Linked DNA regions of Callithrix jacchus. The protein of the gene in region 1 purifies or fractionates together with the protein of each later gene. This does not show direct contact. Links are inferred from orthologs where the notes say so. Each region holds a gene or a part of one and is shown in the gene's direction. Other genes may lie near its edges. The genes, in order: NUP98, NUP133, NUP62, SEH1L, SEC13 and NUP43.

Region 1 (3,500 bases):
TCTTTTTTTGAGAGCGGTTGGGTGGAGAGCTAGAATGGAAGATTTTGTTTACAGAAACATATGGAATACCACTCAATGTAAATGATTGGGGATTCTTAGGATACGCTGGAGGTGCAATTAGCCTAACGGAAATCTCTGGCAGAAATAAAACTTCTTGTTAAAATAAACTGCAGAAAATGAAGAATTTCTCAGGTAAATTGGTGACCCTGAATTTAAAGTTAAAATATAAATGATGGTGAAAAATACTGTGTGATGTCCCTTGGAAAGTACAGTAGTTGAGAAAACTGGCAGTACAAGCAAGAATCTTTGGTTTTACTTATCGTGCCTTTTTTCTCATGAAGTTATGGGGAAAAAACAGGTTTCTTTTTTTTTTTTTTGACACAGAGTCAGCTAGGCTGGAGTGCGGCAGTGCGATCTTGGCTCACTGCAACCTCCGCTTCCCAGATTCAAGCGATTTTCCTGCCTCAGCCTCCCGAGTAGCTGGGATTACAGGCGTTTGCCACCATGCCCAGCTAATTTTTGTATTTTTAGTAGAGATGGGGTTTCACCACGTTGGCTAGGCTGGTCTTGTATTCCCGGCCTCAAGTGATTTGGCCTCCCAAAGTGCTAGGATTACAGGAATGAGCCACTGCACCCAGCTGGTTTTCCATTTTTTTTTTTTTTGAGACAGAGTTTCTCTCTTGTTACCCAGGCTGGAGTGCAACGGCTCGATCTCGGCTCACCACAATCTCTGCCTCCTAGGTTCAACCCATTCTCCTGCCTCAGCCTCCTGACTAGCTGGGACTAAAGGTGTGTGCCACCATGCCCAGCTAATTTTTGTATTTTTAGTAGAGACAGGGTTTCACCATGTTGACCAGGATGGACTCGATCTCTTGACCGCATGATCCACCCCCCTTGGCCTCCCAAAGTGCTAGGATTATAGGTGTGAGCCACCGTGCCTGACTGGTTTTCATATTTTTTTAATGCAACATGACAGGGCAGAACAGAAAGGAGAATTTAAATATAGAGGTTTAAATGTATATATTGAGTAAAGCTTTTCGTATGTATAATATTACATGTATTTTAGCATGTAGTTGGTTGGCTTGAGTTACGGGATTAATTCCTGGGTTTGAAATTACTTTGTTACTAAGATTGATTTCTTCAGATAACCTTGATGTAGGGAGACATCAGAAATGCAGTATATTTATTTAATCAAGCACCCTTGAAACTCTCAGTATAAAAGACTTGGCGGGGGGTGACTCGTTTTACAGTTCAGTGGTTGAGAAATTGTATATGTGATAAAACTTGGACTTACATATTTACCTTTATTTAACTTTGCAGCCTCCAACTGGTACAGATACTATGGTCAAAGCTGGAGTTAGCACTAACATAAGTACCAAGCACCAGTGTATTACTGCTATGAAAGAATATGAAAGCAAGTCACTAGAGGTCAGTAAAATAAAATACAGAATGTCAGTCTAACCTTTTGATTCTGTTGGAATCAAAAGAATCCAATAGAATCTTGGATTCTTTTCATCCAAAAGATTTTTAAATGGTTTTGATTATCTTTAGGATAGAGTGGTTCAGTTTGGGTTTATGTAAAAAATTAACATCAACCAAATTGTTTTTAAAAATCAAGTATTATATTTGTAGCTATCTACTTTTTTAGCCAGAGATAATATTCAGGTGTATGTTAAGGTCTTGCACCCCTAATGGTTTTTTTTTTTTGAGATGATCTCTTTTACCCAAGCTGGAATTCAGTGACACAATCACAGCTCACTGCAGTGTCGGCTTTCCGGGCTCCGCATCCTCAGCCTCACAAGTACCTGGGACTACTGGCACGTGCCAGCACACCCAGCTAACTTTAAAAATTTTTTTGTAGAGGTGAGGCCTCACTATGTTGCCCAGGCCAGTCTCAAACTCTTAGAGCTCGGGTGATCCTCTTCCTCGGCCTGCCAGTGTGCTGGGATAAAAGGCATGAGCCACTGAGCCCAGTCTAGTCATCTGTTCTCATCTAAATGTTGGTTCTGTTAACACTGGGTAATGTGTGTGTGTGCATATGAAGGTGTTCTTAATTAAATCATGCAAAGTCATGCAGCTTAATAAAAGTTTTTTGTTTTTTGGTTTTTTTTGAGACTGTCTCACTCCGTCACCTAGGCTGGCATACAGTGGCACATCTTGGCTCACTACAAACTCTGCCTCCCAGGTTCCAGCAATTCTTACACATCAGCCTCCCTAGTAGCTTGGATTATATAGGTGTGCGCTACCATGCCCAGCTAATTTTTTTTTTTTTTTTTTTGAGACAGAGTCTTGATCTGTTGCCTAGGCTGGTGTGCAGTGGTGCGATCTCAGCTAACTACAACCTCTGCCTCCCGGGTAGCAACTCTCCTGCCTTAGCCTCCGGAGTAGTTGGGATTATAGCTGCATGCCAACATGCTTGGATAAGTTTTGTATTTTTAGTAGAGACGGGATTTCGCTGTGTTGGCTAGGCTGTTCTCGAACACCTGGCCTCATGATCCACCCACCTAGGCCTCCCAAAGTTCTGGAATTACAGGCATGAGCTGCAGCGCCTAGCCACGTTATGTACTTTTTAATGGCTGTCTTTCAAAATTGAGGTATTCATCCATGTTGTTGCATGAAGTTAGTTTGTTCATTCTTATTGCTTATGTAGTAGGTTGTACATTTGGATAATCATTCCTGATTGTAGTGATAGCTTCTTTTGACATAACAAACTATGCTTACTTTATTGGGCTGTGCCAGGAACATCCTGACTTTAGGCAAAATTGATAAACTACTCTTTTTGTAAATTTTTTGCCCCACAGAATCAGCATCTTTTCATTATAATTTTTACTTTTTTTTTTTTTTTATATTGTAGGGCTAGGGAAATTTAGGGTTATTTTATGGCATTTTACCAAAAGAAGAGTGTATTGTTTGTAAAAGAAAATTGAGAATTATGGTTGACCCTTTGGCTTGTAGTTTTACAATAATTACGGTATGGATTTTAGTGTTTATTGGAAATGTTTTTCTGTAACGATATAAGGTGATTCCTTAGTTTTCTCTTTTTTAGTCATGGTTCCTATGTAAGCATAGAACTTGCGTACTAAATTCAAGTCTTTAGTCTCCTAAGTAATTATTTTAAGCTGCATATTAATATTAGAAATATGTTTTCCCTCCCTTCAGGAACTTCGCTTAGAGGATTATCAGGCTAACAGGAAAGGCCCACAGAACCAGGTGGGAGCAGGTACCACAACTGGCTTGTTTGGGTCTTCTCCAGCCACTTCCAGTGCAACAGGACTCTTCAGCTCCTCTACCACTAATTCAGGCTTTGCATATGGTCAGAACAAAACTGCCTTTGGAACTAGTAAGCACTTGATAACATATTAGATTATATTGAGGAGAGACAGATAACTAAAACATAATTGCATTTTGGGATAAGGGCTGTGGAGAAAAATAGTAATTTAGGGATACCATAGGAGTAGGGAGGAGTACCTGGATGTATGTGGGGTAAGGGAGAAATACAG
Region 2 (3,500 bases), on another chromosome or scaffold:
CAGGATTACTTTTTTTTTTGGAGACAGAGTCTTGCTCTGTTACGTAGCCTGGAGTGCAATGGTGTGATCTCGGCTCACCACAACCTCCACCTTCCGGGTTCAAGTGATTCTCCTGCCCCAGGCCTCCTGAGTAGCTGAGTAGCTGGAGCTACAGGCATGTGCCACCATGCACAGCAACTTTTTTGTATTTTAGTAGAGATGGGGTTTCACAATGTTGCCTAGGGTGGTCTTGAACTCCTGAGCTCAGGCAGTTCACCTGCCTCAGCCTCTCAAAGTGCTAGGATTGCTGGGCTAAGACACCATGCCTGGCCCAGAATCCCTTTCTTAAGTCCTGAATGAAGAATTCTTTTAGGATTACTAATCAAATATGTGAAATTTGAGTTTTAAAACAATAGTTCTTTAACATTAGAACTTATTCTGTGAATTTGACTTCTTTTTCTTCTCTGAATAGCTTTCAGGTGTTCTTTGGGATAGTGAGAAATCAAGTTTTTACAGCCTGACAAGTTCAAACATCAGTAAATGGGAATTAGATGATACTTCGGAAAAACATGTGCATAGTTGGGATATAAATAGAGCCCTGAAGGAAAACATTACTGATGCTATTTGGGTAAGGAGCAATAATACTCATCTCTGTAATTCACGTTTATGGTTGTATGATAATGCTGGTTCCCTTAAATGTTTTATTTATTTCAACACATTTCAGTGTAATAAACAAGTGTATAGTTATCAGATTAAGTGGAAATGAGGTAGTCAGTCTCTAGAAATATCAGAATGCACTGGCTTACTTGCTTAGCGATTTTTTTAAATGTACATTTTCATTCAGCAACTGAGCTATCATGGGTGAAGCACTTCACTAGGTGCTAGGGATATAAAGGTGAAAAGAAATGATTCCTACACTCAAGAAGCTTACATTATTGATGTTTTCATGTAGGGATCTGAAAGTAACTATGAAGCTATTAAAGAAGGAGTCAACATTCGATATTTGGACTTGAAGCAAAACTGGTAAGCAATTTGTCATAAAGAACACAGATAAGAGTTTGGAAAAAAATAAGTTGATGTTTCTTATAAAATCATGAGCAATCTCACTCTCTGTCTCTTTTTTTTTGAGGCAGGGTCTCACTCTGTCACCATGATATGGTGGTGCCATGATAGCTCACTGTAGCCATGACCTTCTGGGCTAAAGTAATCCTCCTTCCTCAGCCTCCCTTGTACCTGGGATTACAGACATGTGCCACCACACCTGCTTGATTTTTAAAATTTTTTTGTAGAGATAGGGTCTCACCATGTTGCCCAGGCTGGTCTTGAACTCCTGGGTTCAAGCAGTCCTCCTGCCTCGGTGTCCCAAAATACTGGGATTACAAGTGTGAGCCACAGTGCCCACCCTGTTCTTTCAGTGCTTATCTTCTCATACTGTCTATTAAGCCTTACTGAATGGTTTTGCTGTTGTTTATCAAGTGATCCTAGTTCATTTGGGAAATCGAGGCATTTTTCAGCCTTAAATGGTATATTCTTACCTTGGTGTCTCATTAGTTAGAGACATAGCTTTTCTGTGCTTACAGCTAGAGTTTCTCTTCTTCACTGCCAAGAGATGCCTGAGATCCTGTCATTGCCCACTGTCGTGTGTGCCCCATGCTGTCATTGCTCTTATTAGAGGTATTAGGCACATGTTTCCCACCCTCCTTGTGTTGCTCAAGGAGCTTTAGGCCTACATTTGTGGCTGTGCTGAGTAAAGGATGAGGTAAGGTTTTGTCTTGGTAGCACAGCTTAGAACTTCATCAGAGTTCATACTCAGAGTAAATTTCCTCTTAGAAACAGTGCCCCAAGTGGTACATAGGATCCCGGCTTAGTCTGGTAAAGCTAATTACCCATGTTATTATTTAACTTTAATGCTGAAGGTCACATGGAACTTAAAAACCATTTGTAACATTGCTCATAGTGAATACAAATATATAACTAGTAATCCTTTCGAAGATAACTTCTCAGAAATTAAAGAATATGTTTTATGAGTTTTAATTTTTAATGTTCTTGTTACATGTTTTGGTTAAGTAGAACAAATTCTACTTGTTCCTTTGAGGGATATTGCAGTTGTACCACTTTGTGTAATTTTTCTCTTTCTAGGGCTATTGAGACTATTAGTAGGGTCCTTTACAGTCTCTGAAAACCTTACAAAAGCTATCAAAGAGGTAAAAGTAATAGTACTTGTTTGATTTCTGTAAGCATTTTCTTCTTTTTTCTTTTTCTTTTTTTTTTTTTTTTTTTAGACAGTTTCGCTCTTGTTACCCAGGCTGGAATACAATGGCACGATCTTGGCTCACCGCAACCTCTGTCTCCTGGGTTCAAGCAATTCTCCTGCCTCAGCCTCTCGAGTAGCTGGGACTATAGGCATGCCACCATGCCCAGCTAATTTTTGTATTTTTAGAGATGGGGTTTCACCATGTTGACCAGGATGGTCTCGATCTCTTGACCTTGTGATCCACCCATCTCGGCCTCCCAAAGTGCTGGGATTATAGGCGTGAGCCACCGCGCCCAGCCAGTATTTTAAATACAGTTTACCTGTTTGTCTTTACCAGACTTTTGGAAATTTAGGACAGCCCACTGTGGGCATATAGTGCAGACATTTTTCACATAATTTTCAGAACTGGAGGCATGGGGTTGAGAATGAGAAGCATGCTCAGGAATTGCTATGCAGGGTCCACCCAGGACTCTTCTTCCCCAGTGTTGTCATGCTGACCAGTGGGATCCCTGTGAGGTGCAGCCCTCACCCTCTTGACCTTCCTCTCCTCCTTTACTCTAAATGATCTAGTTAGTACTCTCTTACTTCCGTGAGGTCTTGTGATCAGAACTGTACAGAGAATTCCTCATATGGATGGGTTTCTTTATTTTGAGAGTAGTGTTTGTTTGTCTTCCTCATAGTCATTCACACTTTCTGATTTGTTGTCCATTTGGCCAGAGCTGCGATCTGGGCTTATAATTTCAGTGAATAGGTTTATAAATTACTTGGCCAGGCTGGGTGGCTTATGCCTATAATCCCAGCACTTTGGGAAGCCAAGACAGGAGGATTGCTTGAAGCTAGTAGTTCAAGATCACCTGGGCAACAAAACGAGACCTTGTCTCCACACAAATAAAAATAAAAATTTATCTGGGCTGATGGTCTGCACCATAGTCCCAGCTATTCAGGAGGCTGAGGCGGGAGGATCACTTGAGCCCAGGAGACCAAGGCTGCAGTGATCTATGATTCCACCACCGCACTCTACCTGGGCAACAGAGCAAGATTTTGTTTCTAAGGCAATAAAACAAAAATTAATAAATTATTTTACTAGATGATTACTAATACAAATTTTAGATATCTTCATTTTAGATACAAAATTTGGAATTTTTTTTTAACCTTCATTATTTTGGATATATTCACATAAAAACTTACTGATCAAGCAGGAGGCTCACTTGAGGCTGGGAATTTGAGGCCAGCCTGGGCATGAGAGAGAGAGAGAAAAAAAGAGAGA
Region 3 (4,224 bases), on another chromosome or scaffold:
TTCATAGGGAGCCAAGGGGGCAGGGGCTGGGGGGAGTTTCCCATAGTCTACGAGCCATCCCAGCCCGCTAGCTGGGAGCAGGGCCCTGTCCAGCTCCAGACCCAGGGTCGCCAGGAGTGACATGGCGGTAGCACAGGTGCTGGGCACTGATGGCAACAGGAGACGCTGCAGCAGCAACTGGGACGAGGTTCTGGAGGTTGCTCAGCTGGGCGAAGACGGGCACCAAGGCGAAAGTGGAAGACCTACACGCGTGAGACAAGAGTGGGTGGGGTCAGGAACAGCCTCGCCCACCAGCCAAAATTCATAGGGAAGCCAAGCCACAGCCCCAGGTACGTCCATGGGGTTCCTTCCTCCCCCTTCAAACCAGGGTTTAGGACTAAGCCTCGCCCTCTCCGAATACTAAATTTGTCCTTTCTTTCCCCAAATCTCTGAGCCCCACACACCACCAAGGAACTCGCTTTATAGGACCGATGCCCCACCTCTTCCCCCAATACGGAACCTAAGGGTGTCCCGGGGGAATTACCTTAGGCCCCTCCCATCCACCTCAGAATATTTCGCTTCATAGAAAAACTCAATCCTAGGGACATTTTCTTCCAGCCACGCCCCTTCCTCTAAAATATTTCCTTTTGGCCCCACTGCCTTCCTAGTTTCCATCCCAAATCAGTTCCCAGGGTAACCGTCCCAGATCCCAGCCTTTTAATGTTATCCACTCAAATCCCACGCCTCGCCTTCCCACTGCCCCTCCAAGCCCCGCCCCTCATTGTTTAGCTCCGCCCCCGATTCCTTAGAGGCCCCGCCTCTTTGTCCCATCCCTCAGCTAATGGTTGCCTTGGCCCCGCCCCTTCTCATAATGAACTCCCTAAGTCCCACCCATCGTGACGACGTGGTTCTGGTTCCACCCGTTTAAAGGGGTTCCTCTAAGCCCCGCCTTCTGCCCTGTCAATCTACGTGAGTCCCCGCCTCAGCAGGTGCCTAGTTGAAATAAAAGAAAGCTGTGCTGTGAGTCAGAGCAACGTGGAGCCGGAGAGGTGGAGGAGGGTAGAGGGGATTGGCAGAGAATGGCTACCCGAACGCCCCGTCTACACATGGCTTTGCCCCCGAGGGCCAAAGTGCATGCTCCGCCGCCGGAGCGGTCCAATTGCTTTTACACCGCCGCCCTCCTGGGGATCAATGCGCGTGTGTGACGCCGCACAGGACCCGCCGCTCATTCATACGGGGCACTAGTGGGCTACTGCGCAAGAGCAACCAAGCACGCACAGAATCGTTTAGAAAAAAGCACACCCTTCCCTGGAATGCGCAGCCGCAGCCGCACGCGGGCTGACAAACACCAAGTCTAGAACTCTCCCACCCGGCCCCGGGCCCAGTGCGCATGCGCACCCGCGCGCCCTCGGCCCACCGTCCCTCTTCCGCGCCTGCGCGACCGTGATTCTCCGCTCGTGGTTCCCCACCCCCAGGGCTTCCTAAAGAGGGCCACGAGCTGCGAAAGCGCGGGAAAGGCGGTTGGACAAGGAGAGGCGAGCGGTTACTCACTCCATGGCTGCGGCAGGAAGAGGCAGCGGTGGCCTCGGCTGAAGAAAGAAGGTGGGACGGAGAGCGCAGGCGCGGAGACGGGCTGGGGGCACAAAGGGGTCGCGGCTACAGAGCCATGGCCGGGGCTACGCGGGCGGAGGAGGCGACGCTTAGTGAGAAGACTGTGAACTGAGGTCGGGGAATGAGGCGGCCCCGGGGACTGGGGATAGATATACCCGGGGTGGCGCAGTACGGCCCTCCCGGATCCTTCCGCGCCCCGCCCTCGCGCGGCCCCAAGCGGGAGGCAGCCCGGTCCCCTCCTCGTGGGGATCAGAGGATCCGACTCCCTGCTTCCCACTCACAGGATCGGGCCCTCTCCTGCTTGTGGCTCCGAGGTCTGGTTTTTCCTCCTGACTCTAGGCTCTGGTTTCTCTTTCTGCCTCTGAGGTCTGGGCCTGCTTCATTCCCTTCCCGCAGACTCGCACCGATTAATTTCCCTTTCCCTGCTTCCAGAATTTCCTGCCAGCCACACTTTTCATCTCCATCCCCCAACTGCTGACCCTTAGAACCCTCGTGGGTTAGAGTCCAGCATGAGTCACAGCCCCCTCCGCAACGCAGACCTGCCAGGGTGGCCTCGGGCAAATAAGTTCCCTCACCTCGTTTCCCTGTCTGCAAAATAAGAAAATCAACTCTCGTAGCGGATTTATGAGACTCAAGACAATGTGTCCGCCAAGCTTTATGCCCAGAGTTCAACTCATACATTCCTGTTCAACATTTTTTTTTTTTTTTTTTTTGAGAAAAGAGTGTCGCTTTGTCACCCAGGCTGGAGTGCAGTGGCACAGTCTCGGCTCACTGCAGCCTCCCCCTTTAAGGTTCAGGTGATTCTTCTGCCCTCAGCCTATCGAGTAGCTGAGACTGCAGGCACGAGCCACCACTCCGGGCTAATTTTTGTGTTTTTAATAGAGACGGGGTTTCACCAGGTTGCCCAGGATGGTCTCTATCTCTTGACCTTGTGATCCACCTGCCTCGGCCTCCCAAAGTGCTGGGGCTACAAGCGTGAAGTACCGTGCGCAGCCATATTTTATTATTAATAGATACTCTGGGGCCCAGTCTCACTTCTTCCTCCCTGCTTGCAAGAGCCGCAGGCGTTGGACTGTCCAACACCTGCTGGTGGGTCATTCTTCTGTCTCCCTCATTCCTCCAAAGTGTCCACTTCCAGCCGTCCTCACCTCCCATTCCAAAGGATGGGTGCCCAGGCCCCATCCCCTGGCAGGGATTCATGCATCGAGGCCCCAGCTTCGTTCTTTTCTCCATCCCTTGCCTTGGCTTCCTTTCAGACAGGCTTTCTTAGCCTCCACTGGATAGGAGCTGTCTCCCAAGCCTGCCAAAAATGGAAGATCTCCGTTTTCCTTTAGTCAAAGACAGGGTAGCCATCTTGCCCCTTCTCCTGCACTGGGCCCTCCGCCAGCTGAAGTGGATGTTGGTCTTTTCTCTGTTGCAGAAAGCCACCTTGTCCAATCCACATCAGGACATCCCAGCTGGAGTTCAACCTTCATCTCTTCTGTGGCAGTTAAGAGAGTGAATCAGGGTCCAGAGAAGGTGTAGGAACCCTGGTATTGAGCGTTACACACAAACTTCTTTGTCCTCCCTTCCCTGTGGCAGGCAGGAAGTCCTTCTCGGGATCTGACCACCTTCTCTTGGAGCACTTACTGTCCACTCTCCCAGTTTCTGAGCACTTGTCCTGTATTTCCTTTGGCTGAGGGGCTGTGTTATCACCTATGCAGTATGTAACCTAGCAGCTCAGAGCACAGACTAAGCTTGTCCCATCCGGGGGTCCACATGTAGCCCAGAACGTTCTTAAAACATTATGCAGATTTTTTTGCAGTTGTATTTATTTATCTGTTGCTCATCAGCTATTGTTAGTGTATTTTATGTGTGGCCCAAGACAATTTTAGTGTGGGCCCAGGAAGCCAAAAGAGTATCCATCCCTGGCGTAGACTCTGGAGCCAGATTATATGAGTTCAAAACCTAACTGCACCCCACTTATTAGCTGTGCGGCCCTAGTCATTTCCCTTCCCTGTGCCTCAGTTTCCCCTTTAGTACAAAGTGGCATTAAGAGTGCCTGCTGCTGGACCAGGTGCAGTGGCTCACACCTGTAATCCCAGCATTCTGGGCAGATTGCTTGAGGTCAGAAATTGACCAGCCTCGGTAACTTGGTGAAACCCCATCTCTACCAGAAATATAAAAAAATGGCTGGGTGTGGTATTTTGCGCCTGTGGTCCCAGCTACTCGGGAGGCTAAGGCAGGAAGATCACTTGAACCCTGGGGAGGGGCAGAGGTTGCAGTGAGCCGAGATTGGGCCACCAGACTCCAACCTTCAGGACAGAGTGACACCCTGTCTCAAAAACATTTCCTACCTCTTAAGGCTGTTACGAGGTTTAAAGACTGCCTGGTACACAGTAGGTGCTGCGTAAAAGCTGGTTACTGTATTGCTGTAATTAAGGTGGATGTGTTCTCTTTCTGTTCCTGTGCAGTAAGTGCTTTCAAACTATGACTGGTCATCCAATTTACAAAGGAGATTTCGGGACCAACTTCCTTCCACTTCTCAGTACAGGTTTTTGAGCAAATGCAGATGGAATTAAGGGTAGACTGTTGGACCGACTGGCAGTGGTAAGAAGGCACGCTTGTGCCATACCCACCCCCCACCCCTGCCGA
Region 4 (3,615 bases), on another chromosome or scaffold:
TTTGCTGGTAGGTTATGAGGCTATTACATTATATTCTGAAGCTTTAGTGATGTATTGGTAGAAATGTTTATAGGTTTAAGATTCAACGCTGCTTCTGCAGCAGTGAGAGGAAGAGGTTATCTGGTTTAATAGTGAGGGTTTTAGTCCAAATGAACGTTAGTGTTTTTTAGTGCTTGTAGTGTGGTCTTTGTATCAGGTCAAACTGAAATTTTAAATAAATACATTAATTAAGGCTTTTTAGAAGAGAGTACATTAAATTATTTGGTTTTTGTGTTTAAAACTTATTGGAAATAAGAGGAAATAATAAAATCTGAGATTGATTTTTAAAATGTTAGCATATGTTAGATTCTTGTGTATCGTAATAAGGAATATCTGATGTCATCTAAAGAGTCATCCTTTTATTTTCATGTTCAAATTTTAAATATGTGAATTTGTAAGATAAAACTATTTTAATAGGCCTTTGTGAATAAATTTGGAATAGAAATCAGGAAGCTTCAAAACACAGCCTAATGGATATCCTAAATAAAAGAAGAAAATTGTATTTAAAATTTCAACTATTTTTATATTGTTATATTTTTATAAAGAATTCCTGCTTTTGATTTTTGAGGTTGTAAATATGAGCATCAAAATAATTTCAGGTTACTGTGGAAGATACCAGATTATAAAGATTATTTCATGAAACAAGTAATATTAGAGTTGATTTTTAAAGTCTGGTTTTTGGTCACTGCTTGTACTATGTATTTTCTTTTGTAAATAGCTTCGACGTTTTGATCTGTATTCTTAATTGTGCCAATAACCATCTGTGTTAGATCTGTGATGCATTTTCCCTTTCCATTTGTATTATGTCCTTTAACAGAAAGCACAGCTGAGTACAAGCTAACTGGAGTAACTTTGCTGTTTTGCTGCTTGTTGCATGCACACAGGAATGGAAAGCGAGCTCCTTTTCCCCTTCCCCAGCGCCATTTTGACCTCTCCCAAGATACACCAGCAGCCTGCTTACTACTAAACGCAACCCAAAAGGCCTTTAAAAATACGGTGTATATTTTTTTGTACTAGTCAGTTTGTTGACACTATTTGAAACTTTTGAAATATAAATGGAGAGGCTTTCTGTTGAGACATTGTCACCAAAACAATTTTTTGAAATGTTCCTCAAACTAACTTGGGTTTAAAGATTAAAAGGGTTGTTAACCTTCTTATGTAACTAGTTGAGAAGAGGGGAAATATCACTTTAATTTTTTGGGAAAATACAGACATATTTCTTTTGCTTTCTTAAAACAGCTTAAAATGAACTCTTCTAATTTTAATTTGAAGATTGAATAAATATTTTTCATAAAGATTGTTTTGAGTGCTGATTTGTTTACTTTTTGTAGAATTGCTTTATACATGATATTCAGTACAACTCTGTCATTTCTTTGTAATATTTAAAAAATATTAGTAAAGGAGTGAATTAGTAAAGTAGTAATAGTAAAAAGAAAGTAACTTAACTGTACAGTTTGTAGCCAGGTTAAGCATTTGGTGGTGTTTCATTTATAATTTGGTAGTAAGATGGAAACACCTTTTTGTTAAGTTTTTAATTGATATTCACTAAAGAGATAAATGTTGCTAATATACATTTATATGTTCTTATGGTGTTATTTATTTCATGGCTTAGTTTCCTTCACATCAAAATTTGGACACGTACTATAAGAGAAGCCATTAAAATTTTACTAAAATTGTGCATGTAAATGAATGTCAGCATTCCATGTCTCAAGATTTTCTTAATTTAGTTGGCTGTTTAAATTAGTTCATATCCTGTAAAGCTGTGACCTTGATAACAAAGCTATAAATATTTAAGTTTGCTAAAATGCATAAGTATTACTGGTAAGTTACAAGATGGAACAAGATTAACAATAGGGAACAGTCATTCTGTGAATCCTTTTACTTGTCAAAATTCGGTAGCTATTCTAAGGGTTTTGCAGAAAAATAAGTATGTTCAATATAATTCTTCAAAAGCATGTTGCAGTAGACAGCCATACTCTTTGTATTCCCAGTATCATGTATGCACTAAAAAAAGAGTGTGCTTGCTGCTGCTGTGAGTGAACCATTGCTTAAAATAAAAAGCTTATTAGATTTGTAAATGAACAGAATAGCATCAGATGTTTCTGAGAGATTAGAAAATGTTTTGAATTTATAAAATTAATGTTTTTCTTTGTAACGTTTATATTGATTTTTTTTGACATTTTAAGTTTAACAGATTGTATTTCTTTCAAGTTTTTATACTTGCTTAAGCAATCTTGGTTTGAGTAAGGGTCTTGATTTGTGCTTTTTTTTTTTTCCTAGCATGTTTTCTCCTCTTTGGTTCTCTTTGTATTTACTACTTTTCTCTTTTTCTTGTTTTTTTTTTTTTTTTTCCTGTTGTTTTTGTTTTGTTTGGTGTTTGTTCCTGTCTTAATTGTTTCAGGTATTTCTTTCCCCCTCTGGATTCCCCACGGGCTGGATCGAGATGGTCCAGTTCTATCCAGCTCCTTCCTCCTCCTCCTCTTCCTCCTCTGGTAGAGCACTCTTGCGATGCTGACACTGCCAACCTCCAGTATCCTCACCCTCGCAGACGATATCTCTCTCGGCCTCTTAATCCCTTACCTGAGAATGAAGGGGTTTAAAACACTGACTTAACATTGAAAGGCCTTATTCAAGTGCTTGTAAATGCTTTCATTTCTGGCTGCTATTTTTCTTCATTTTCTTTCAGAAGATTTTTCTAACTTAGGGTCTGTCTTGCATGTATTACTACCAGAATACAGTGTTCAGAACCTAAATCTGTTTGTGCGTCTGCAGCAACGGAACATTTGCTTCTCTGGGTGATAACCTTTGATGAAATGAGGTATGTCCAAATAATGTTATCTGTGAAATTATACACAGAAGCAGACTTCAAAGTGCCTGTTCTGTAATTTTATTTTGAACTGTTACCATAGTCTTAAGTTGCTTATGCTTTATCAGACTGGCTAATGTGAAAGCATATTATTGTGAAGTTTATTCTGCCTTTGAGACCTTAAGAAATGGATTTAATTTTATAGGCTAATGTTGCAACTGACGAGTATGTAAAATAAAATAAAGCATTCCTGTGTATAAAGCTGCAAAACCTAATGTGGACTTTTTGGTCTTTTTTTTTTTTTTTTTTAAAGGAAATTGCCTTTCACTGCTTAGAATTACTGTTTAAAGCTTTTGTAATTATCCGGGTAGGTTATATAATAAAATATATTTTTAAATACATGAATCTCTTGCCTTATAAAAATAGGATATATTTTATTTAAGATAGTTGCTAAGGCTTACTCTTCTTTCATAATCTCACAAAAAACCCAAACAAATAAAAATTAGGAGATGTGAGCAAATATTACATTTATTTAAAAGGTAGAAAGTAGGTAGACTAACATATAGAATGGACAGATGTTGACTTTCAATCTAGTCAACGTTAGAAAAGATTTTTTTCTAAAATATTTTAAAATTAGAATATACTTGACAGTAATTGGGGCAAAATGGTTAAAACTAGTAATAGGCATTTTGGTTCAGTTTTCTGAGGAATTATCAAGGGTTTAACCTATCAGGGCTAGAGAGAGACAGGTGTTTTGAACAGTATTTCAT
Region 5 (4,125 bases), on another chromosome or scaffold:
ACTGCACACTTACTCGTTGAGTGAATGATGGAATGAATGAGAACTAACGATTGAAAGTATCTGGGCTGAGCCTGGCATATATAGTACATGCTTTCTCTTAGAAAGGTGAGTGTGCCTCAGCAGCAGGTTTGAGGGAACCTTCAGGAACCCAGAAATCAGAACACTGCGTTCTTGCTCTACAGAGGGCTAGGTGTAAATCACTCACTGCTGGTTAGAGTTGAGGGTCTTATGCTCTGACATTCAGCTTATCCTAAATGAATTTTTAACTCATTATCTTTGATTTCAAAGAGGTGAATTGTTTTGAGTGCAGGTGTTAACAGGGACCAGATAACACCAGGTGCCCAGGAAGAAGTACTCTCTCTCCCCTTCTCTGCCTCTCCTCTCCCCATCCTTCTCTCCCCATCCCTCTCCCTCCTCCCTCTCTCTCCCCCTCCCCCTATCCCCCTCCTTCTCTCTCCCCCTCTTTCCCCCTCTCCCCCTCTCCCCTCTCCTCCTCCCTCTCTCCCCCCTTTCCTCCCTACCTCCTTCCCTCTCCCTCTCTTCTCTCCCCTTCTTTCCCTCTCTCCCCTTTTCTCAAGAGGCCCTCCCTCTCTCCCCTCCCCATCTCTCTCCGTTCCTCCCCCTCCTCTCCCCCTCCCCCTCCTCTCCCCCTCCCCCTCCTCTCCCCCTCCCCCTCCTTCTCTTCCTCTCCCTTTCTCTCTCTCCCAGTCCCTCTCCACCCATCCCTCTCCACCTCTCCCACTGTCTCCCTGCCTTCTTTTCTCTTCCCCTACCTCCTTTTCTCTCCCCCTTCCTCCTTCCTTCCCCAGTCTTGTTCAGAAGCATGGGTCATCAACCCTGACTGGTGGGTGAGAGTGGTTAGAACTAAATTCTGGTTATTTCTGAGGTCCTTTGGTAACCTGGTTGAAACTACCTCTCAGTAAACTTTCTTCCTGAATCTACTTATCCCTCAGCTTTGCAGAACTCAGGGTAACAGCTGCTTTACCTTCTAAAGAGGCAGCCTGGTGGAGTGAAGTTTTGTGGGCTGGGAGTTAGAAGGTTAGGGGATGGGGCTCTGCCTTTAACTAGCTCTATGACTTTGGCAAGTGCTTTCTTTGCTCTGGGCCTCTTCAGTTCCTTAGTCTGTCTTAGGGCACTGATTGACTCTGCCCTTGGTACCTGCCCTCCCCACCTTCCCATGCACTTTGTAACTTATACAGCTTGGCACATGGAGGAAACTCCTTCTAGTCCTTACTTGCCTTTGCAGACTTGGGGACCTGTTTTTTTGTTGTTGTTGTTCTTTGTTTTTTGTTTTCAAGATGGGGGTTTCACCCTGATGGCCAGGCTGGTCTTGAACTCCTGACCTCAGGTGATCCACCCACCTTGGCCTCCCAAAGCAGGGACCTGTTTATTAGAGAGTCTAGAGTTTGATGAGAGAAGCTGTGCTTACTTGGTGTGTACCTCTTGAACTGCTTTGCAGCCATCCTCTTCCAGTGTCTGCCTTTCTGAAAACACAAGTCAAACTTCATACCTACAGGGCTTGTGCTGGAAAAGATGAAATGGGGAAAATGGTAAGAAATGTCTGTTCCACACCGAAACTTCCTTTTAAGTCCTTTTTCTATCCCAAGAATTTAAGAGAATAGTGGTTGAGCAAAGAAAAAAAAATAACAGCTTTTGTTAATTTACTTATTGATTCAGCAGATAGTCACTGAGTTCCTTCTATTTGCAAAGCGCTGTGCTGGATAATTTGAGAGGATTTGAAATTGCAGATGGCTCAGACCATGGCTCCAAGGGGCTCACCTTCTAGTGGGGAGAAGAAAAAGCATAAAACATTGTATATGTTCAGTGCTGAAGATATGCAAGAGTCCAGCCATTTGAGGATCTGAGCATCTTAAAGAAGGGTGGAAGGGCAGACCTCAAAGAATGAATAGGAGAGTGATGACCATGACACCACGTTCCAGCCCTACAGACTGTTCAACCCTGGATCCCACTTGGTGATGGACCGGGGAGCAGCCTCAGGAAAACTCGAATCAAGCCTCCCAGTCTGAAGTAATAATCCTGTTATGCATTAACTGCCTGGAACATCAGAGGCCCTGTCATCCAGGAAGGGAGCATCAGCTGTAGCTCCTTTGTGGTCTCTCCTCACCCTTAAGAGTAGCCAGGACTGCTTGCCATTTCCCCACACACATCAAGCTCACTCAGACCCCTTTGTCTTTATTCGTGTATTTCCTCTGCCTGGCCACTTGGACTGGTACTGTTTTCCCTTGTGCCATCTGCAAATTCCTACTCATCAACTAAGGCCGAGTTCATGTCTACCACCCCATCCCCCTCAGTCTCCTGTAGGACATGCAGACCACAATTAAAGAATTTATCTTGGCCGGGCATGGTGGCTCACACCTGTAATCTCAACATTTTGGGAGGCCAAGGCGGGCGGATCACAAGGTCAAGAGATTGAGACCATCCTAGCCAACATGGTGAAACCCCATCTCAACTAAAAATACAAAAATTAGCTGGGCATGGTGGCACGTGCCTGTATCCCTGCTACTCAGGAGGCTGAGGCAGGAGAATCACTTGAACCTGGGAGTTGGAGGTTGAAGTGAGCCAAGATCGCGTCACTGCACTCCAGCCTGGATGACAGAGCCAGATTCCACCTTAAAAAAGAGCTTCTCAAGGGCAGAAAGTTCCTCTTATTTGTGTCTGTGTATCCAGTTCCTGGCACACTGCTTGGCAAAAAGAAGGTACTTAGAATGAATGCTTAATGAATGAATGAGTGAACAAATGCAGTCAAGAACTTGAGATGATTGTATTCTAACTGCCATCAGTTAATTTACCAGCGATATCTTTGGTTCTAGGTGTCAGTAATTAACACTGTGGATACCTCCCATGAGGACATGATTGTAAGTATTAATATCACCCTCCCTGGAGGGCTGTGGACATGGGCATTTTTGTGGGAGGGAAGCAATTGGGTTTTTCATTACCCCTTCCTGTTGCTTATTCATGGATCCAGGGTGGCTCTGCATTGGTTGCCCATCAGCCTGTAACCTCAGGGGGTATGGCTGGGCTCCCCAGCAGTGCCCTCTGAGTAGTCAGGGCTGCAGCAGTCTGGTCACTCTCTTCTGGGAGGAACCCGGGAATAATTTGTAGTTCTAGGCTCTCGGTCTTCCAGCCAACACAGTAACCTGCTCTGGGATGAAGCCTGGGTGAGTGCACAGGTTTGACAATAGACTTCCCACCTGCCTTCCTCTTCCTGTCACTTCTTGGCCCCGTTGGAAAGGGGGGTGAAAAGTAGAGAGTGTCGGAAGATGACTCAATACAAAGGCAGAAGGTGGCCACAGTGAAAGCCCCAGGCAGAGCCCAGTCAAACTACCAAGACAATATGCCAGATAAGGCCCTTTGAACCAGAGGTCTGTACTCAGGGCATTTCCTGCTAGGTAAACGTGGGGCTCAGTATAAGAGGACAGGGCTGCAGGAGAAGGTCCAGAGGATAAAGTCTACAGCAGGAAAAACTCTGCTTCATTCGGGGCCAAGCCGCCTTTGAGCAAGAGCCAGGACAGCTGACTGACAGCATTGCATGTCAGGGTTCTTGCCCTCACAACCTGTCTACCAACAGTTGCTTTGGGTTTCTGAGAGGTTGTCTGGTCCCAGAGTTGTATATGTTCTCTGGATTCAGTCACGAGTGGTCTAGCTGTAAGACCACACCTCTTTGGAGATAGCTTGGCATCATGGTCAGGAAGACCTAATCTGAGACTCCCTAACCAATATCTTAACTATTCTGAGCTAGCCTCACTTATGGGAAAAATAATGGATGTGCTATCTATTTGTATGAGTTTGGTTTGAGAAACAGATGAGGCAAAGTAGTAATGACAAACATTTGTATGCTTACTGAGTGTCAGGCCCCATGCTAAGTACTTTTCACTCAATATCTTGTTTAACCTTCGTAACAACCCTTGAAACAGATGCTGTCATTAGCCTTATTTAAACATAAGGGAACTAAGGCCATAGGATGTTGGTAAATAATAAAGATAAGGAAACTGAAGCTCAAGGAGATGAAGTAGTTTCAACAGTTGCACAGCAGGTAAGCTAAGGAGATAGGATTTAGATCTGTAAGGTACTTTGTCCTGCCTCCTTCCACTGAGAAACATAAGA
Region 6 (3,500 bases), on another chromosome or scaffold:
AGCTGTAAGAACCATAGGTAAGAAAAATCCCAGCCTGGCCAACATGGTGAAACCATCTCTACTAAAAATATGAAAGTTAGCTGGGTGTGGTAGTATGTACATGCCTGTAATCCCAGGTACTCAGAAGGCCAAGGCAGGAGAATTGTTTGAACCCGAGAGGCTGAGGTTGCAGTGAGCTGAGATGGCACTGCCATATTCCTACCTGGGCAACAGAAGGAGACTCCATCTCAAAAAAAGAAAAATCATTTTATTTCTTTCATCTCTCACAGAGTAATTGAGTACTTACGATATACTAAGTAAACACAGCCAGGTAGGGGTGGATCACGAGGTCAAGAGATCCAGACCATCCTGGCCACATGGTGAAAGCCTGTCTCTACCAACAATACAAACTTAGCTGGGCATGGTGGTGCGCACCTGTAGTCTCAGCTACTGGGGAGGCTGAGGCAGGAGAATTGCTTGAACCCAGGAGGCGGAGGTTGCAGTGGACTGAGATCACACCACTGCACTCCAGTCTGGCAACAGAGCAAGACTCTGTTTCAGAAGTAAACACAATGTTAAATGGTTGAGGGATATAAAAATACATGGACAGGCACAGTGGCTCATGCCTATAATCCCAGCACTTCAGGAGGTCAAGGCAAGCAGATCATTTGAGGCCACGAGTTTGAGACTAGCCTGGCCAACATGGCGAAATCCTGTCTACTAAAAATATAAAAATTAACTGGCAATGGTGGCACACGCGTATAGTCCCAACTGCTTGGAAGGCTGAGGCATGAGAATTGCTTGAACCTAGGAGGCTGAGGCTTTAGTGAGCCAGTATCATACTATTGCACTCCTGCCTGCCTGGGTGACAGCAAGACTCTGTCTCAAAAATATATATATAAATGTGTGCGCGCGCGCGCACACACACACACACACACACACACACACACACACGACAGGATGCTTTTGTCAAGACAGTATATTGATGAGGCCAGTACAAATGACTGACTAGAGAAGACAGAAACCTTTTTTTTCCTTTGGCCAGAGGGGATTATCAGATAAAGCATCTGGGAGTAGGTAGTAATAGTTTTTTCTAGGTTCTAGACCATAAGTAATACTAAAAGATGGCATGCTAGACAAAGGGAATAGGCCAGAGACAGGATAAAGACCTTCAGAGAATGACAAAAAGTATAGTTTGACCCAACTTTAGATATTTATGCAGGAGAGATGAAAGATGAAGCAAGAGAAGGGTAAACAGGCCAGATTGCAAGGAGTCTATAATGCAAAATCACAGAGATTACATCTTGTAGGTGGAAAACTCAGTGTATTGGTTCTCAACTATGCTTCAATAAGACTTGCCTGAGGAAGTTTTTTTGAACTGTCCACCACTCTAGACCTCTTGAATCAGAATCGCTAGGAATTGAGCCCATACGTCCATCTTTTTGTTTTGTTTTATTTATTTATTTACTTTTTAGATGGAGTCTCACTCTGTCATCAGGCTGGAGTGCAGTGGCATGATGGCTCACTGCCACCTCCGTCTCACAGGTTCAAGCAGTTCTCCTGCCTGAGCCTCCTGAGTAGCTGGGATTACAGTCACCCACCATCACTCCCAGCTAATTTTTGTATTTTTGGTAGAGATGGTCTTTCACCATGTTGGCCAGGATGGTTTCGATCTCTTGACCATGTAATCTGCCCACTGTGGCCTCCCAAAGTGCTGGGATTACAGGTGTGAGCCACCGTGCTCGGCTTTCTGTGTTGTTTATTATGGTTTTCAGTTCTGAGTTAAGTTGCATTGCTTTTTTTTTTTTTTTTTTTTTGTGACAGGGTCTTGCTTTGTCACCCAGGCTGGAGTGCAGTGGCATGATCCAAGCTCACTGCAATTTCTGCCTCCCAGGTTCAAGCAATCCTTCTGCCTCAGCCTCCCAAGGATCTGGGACCACAGATGCATACCACCATGCCTGGCTAATTTTTGTAGAAATGAGGTTTTACCATGCTGTCCAGGCTGGTCTCCAACTCCTGGGTTCAAGTGAATTGCCCGCCTCGGCCTCCCAAAATGTTAGGATTACAGGTGTGAGCCACTGCACTGGGCAACATCACTTATTTGTTAATTAATGACCGTTGTCTGGTGGCAGTGTAGAGGAGTGGCACAAACTAAAGTCTATAAAGTATATGTTAAATTATGAGGCATAAGTTCTAAACACCAGGAAATCAACAGAAGGACCATTATAACAATCAGGAATGACTTCATAGAGAGGGCGAGAGTTGATGAGGATGAAAATAAGTAGATTTGGGATGAGTCTGCAGAATAATACAAGATTGGCATGAGCTCTGTAGAAAGCACAGGGGTTTGGCCCAATAGAAGGGAAGTTCTAGATCAGGAACTAGTGGGAAATAAGATTGGGTTTAGGGGAGCTTGAACAACTCTCTCAGAAATGCAGGGTAACAATCTTTTTCTTTTTCTTTGAGACGAAGTTTCGCTCTTGTTACCCCAGGCTGGAGTGCAATGGCGCGATCTCGGCTCATCGCAACCTCTGCCTCCTAGGTTCAGGCAATTCTTTCTCAGCCTCCTGAGTAGCTGGGATTATAGGCACGTGCCACCATGCCCAGCTAATTTTTTTTGTATTTTTAGTACAGACAGGGTTTCACCATGTTGACCAGGATGATCTCGATCTCTTGACCCCGTGATCCACCCGCCTTGGCCTCCCAAAGTGCTGGGAACAATCTTAAGAGTTAAAAAAGAATGTATGAAAACTCAGCCTTCCATTTCTAACACAGTTCAAGGCTGGGCCCAGTGCCTCACACCTGTAAATCCAGCACTTCGGGAGACCGAGGTGGGTGGATCACCTGAGCTTAGGAGTTCGAGACCAGCCTGGCCAATGTGGTGAAACCCTGTCTCTACTAAAAATACAAAAATTAGCCGGGCGTTGTGGTGTGTGCCTGTAATCCCAGCTACTAGGGAAGCTGAGGCAAGCAAATCACTTGAACCTGGGAGATAGAGGTTGCAGTGAGCCGAGACCATACCAGTGCCCTCTAGCCTGGGTGACATGGCAATATCCATCTTAAAAAAAATAAAAAGAAAAAGAAAACAGTTCAGATGTCCTGTAATATTTTTCCATCCAAAGAGAATTCATTTAAACATGTACATTACTGTGTACTTTTCTATAGAAATTTAAATTATTAGTTACTGGAAATTGTATTTGTAATATAGCAATCCATGAAAGGAGTGTGATTTAAGATTTTCTTGGAAAAAAGGAACTCATTAACACATATTACCATTTTTAAAAATTTTTAGACAATGCAGATAGTAGTACACTCCATGCTGTAACCTTTCTTCGAACTCCTGAGATTCTTACTGTGAATTCAATTGGACAGTTGAAAATATGGGATTTCAGACAACAAGGAAATGAGCCTTCTCAGATATTGTCACTGTAAGTATTGATTTGTAATTTCAGTAATGTAATCCAAAATTAATGTGTTTGGTTGTTTATAGCAATTATCTTTAAGCTATGTTAATTACATTT

What was found.
Region 2: the proteins of NUP98 (region 1) and NUP133 purify together in Homo sapiens (affinity purification with mass spectrometry; 6 studies listed by BioGRID and IntAct, with this or other methods). This does not show direct contact. The link is inferred for Callithrix jacchus from reciprocal best matches to the Homo sapiens genes NUP98 and NUP133.
Region 3: the proteins of NUP98 (region 1) and NUP62 purify together in Homo sapiens (affinity purification with western blotting; 3 studies listed by BioGRID and IntAct, with this or other methods). This does not show direct contact. The link is inferred for Callithrix jacchus from reciprocal best matches to the Homo sapiens genes NUP98 and NUP62.
Region 4: the proteins of NUP98 (region 1) and SEH1L fractionate together in Homo sapiens (co-fractionation; 3 studies listed by BioGRID and IntAct, with this or other methods). This does not show direct contact. The link is inferred for Callithrix jacchus from reciprocal best matches to the Homo sapiens genes NUP98 and SEH1L.
Region 5: the proteins of NUP98 (region 1) and SEC13 purify together in Homo sapiens (affinity purification with mass spectrometry; 4 studies listed by BioGRID and IntAct, counting the BioPlex papers as one, with this or other methods). This does not show direct contact. The link is inferred for Callithrix jacchus from reciprocal best matches to the Homo sapiens genes NUP98 and SEC13.
Region 6: the proteins of NUP98 (region 1) and NUP43 purify together in Homo sapiens (affinity purification with mass spectrometry; 4 studies listed by BioGRID and IntAct, counting the BioPlex papers as one, with this or other methods). This does not show direct contact. The link is inferred for Callithrix jacchus from reciprocal best matches to the Homo sapiens genes NUP98 and NUP43.

The regions. Positions count from the first base shown.
Region 1 is NC_133511.1:69,199,430-69,202,929, reverse strand, and holds part of NUP98 (nuclear pore complex protein Nup98-Nup96), read left to right. Parts: intron 1-1,320; coding exon 1,321-1,428; intron 1,429-3,159; coding exon 3,160-3,340; intron 3,341-3,500. UniProt on the Homo sapiens protein: Plays a role in the nuclear pore complex (NPC) assembly and/or maintenance. NUP98 and NUP96 are involved in the bidirectional transport across the NPC. May anchor NUP153 and TPR to the NPC.
Region 2 is NC_133520.1:21,060,146-21,063,645, forward strand, and holds part of NUP133 (nuclear pore complex protein Nup133), read left to right. Parts: intron 1-451; coding exon 452-607; intron 608-931; coding exon 932-1,002; intron 1,003-3,500. UniProt on the Homo sapiens protein: Involved in poly(A)+ RNA transport. Involved in nephrogenesis.
Region 3 is NC_133523.1:43,702,823-43,707,046, reverse strand, and holds the start of NUP62 (nuclear pore glycoprotein p62), read left to right. Parts: upstream 1-1,424; 5' UTR 1,425-1,581; exon of another isoform or gene 1,582-1,713; intron 1,714-1,871; exon of another isoform or gene 1,872-2,063; intron 2,064-3,010; 5' UTR 3,011-3,078; exon of another isoform or gene 3,079-3,122; intron 3,123-4,043; exon of another isoform or gene 4,044-4,179; intron 4,180-4,224. Other genes in the region: ATF5 (cyclic AMP-dependent transcription factor ATF-5), read right to left, coding at 1-123. UniProt on the Homo sapiens protein: Essential component of the nuclear pore complex. The N-terminal is probably involved in nucleocytoplasmic transport.
Region 4 is NC_133514.1:49,490,222-49,493,836, reverse strand, and holds the end of SEH1L (nucleoporin SEH1), read left to right. Parts: intron 1-856; coding exon of another isoform or gene 857-869; exon of another isoform or gene 870-2,440; coding exon 2,441-2,639; 3' UTR 2,640-3,115; downstream 3,116-3,615. UniProt on the Homo sapiens protein: Component of the Nup107-160 subcomplex of the nuclear pore complex (NPC). The Nup107-160 subcomplex is required for the assembly of a functional NPC.
Region 5 is NC_133516.1:67,482,917-67,487,041, reverse strand, and holds the start of SEC13 (protein SEC13 homolog), read left to right. Parts: upstream 1-1,325; 5' UTR 1,326-1,409; coding exon 1,410-1,550; intron 1,551-2,831; coding exon 2,832-2,876; intron 2,877-4,125. UniProt on the Homo sapiens protein: Functions as a component of the nuclear pore complex (NPC) and the COPII coat. At the endoplasmic reticulum, SEC13 is involved in the biogenesis of COPII-coated vesicles.
Region 6 is NC_133505.1:156,520,735-156,524,234, reverse strand, and holds part of NUP43 (nucleoporin Nup43), read left to right. Parts: coding exon 1-17; intron 18-3,271; coding exon 3,272-3,407; intron 3,408-3,500. UniProt on the Homo sapiens protein: Component of the Nup107-160 subcomplex of the nuclear pore complex (NPC). The Nup107-160 subcomplex is required for the assembly of a functional NPC.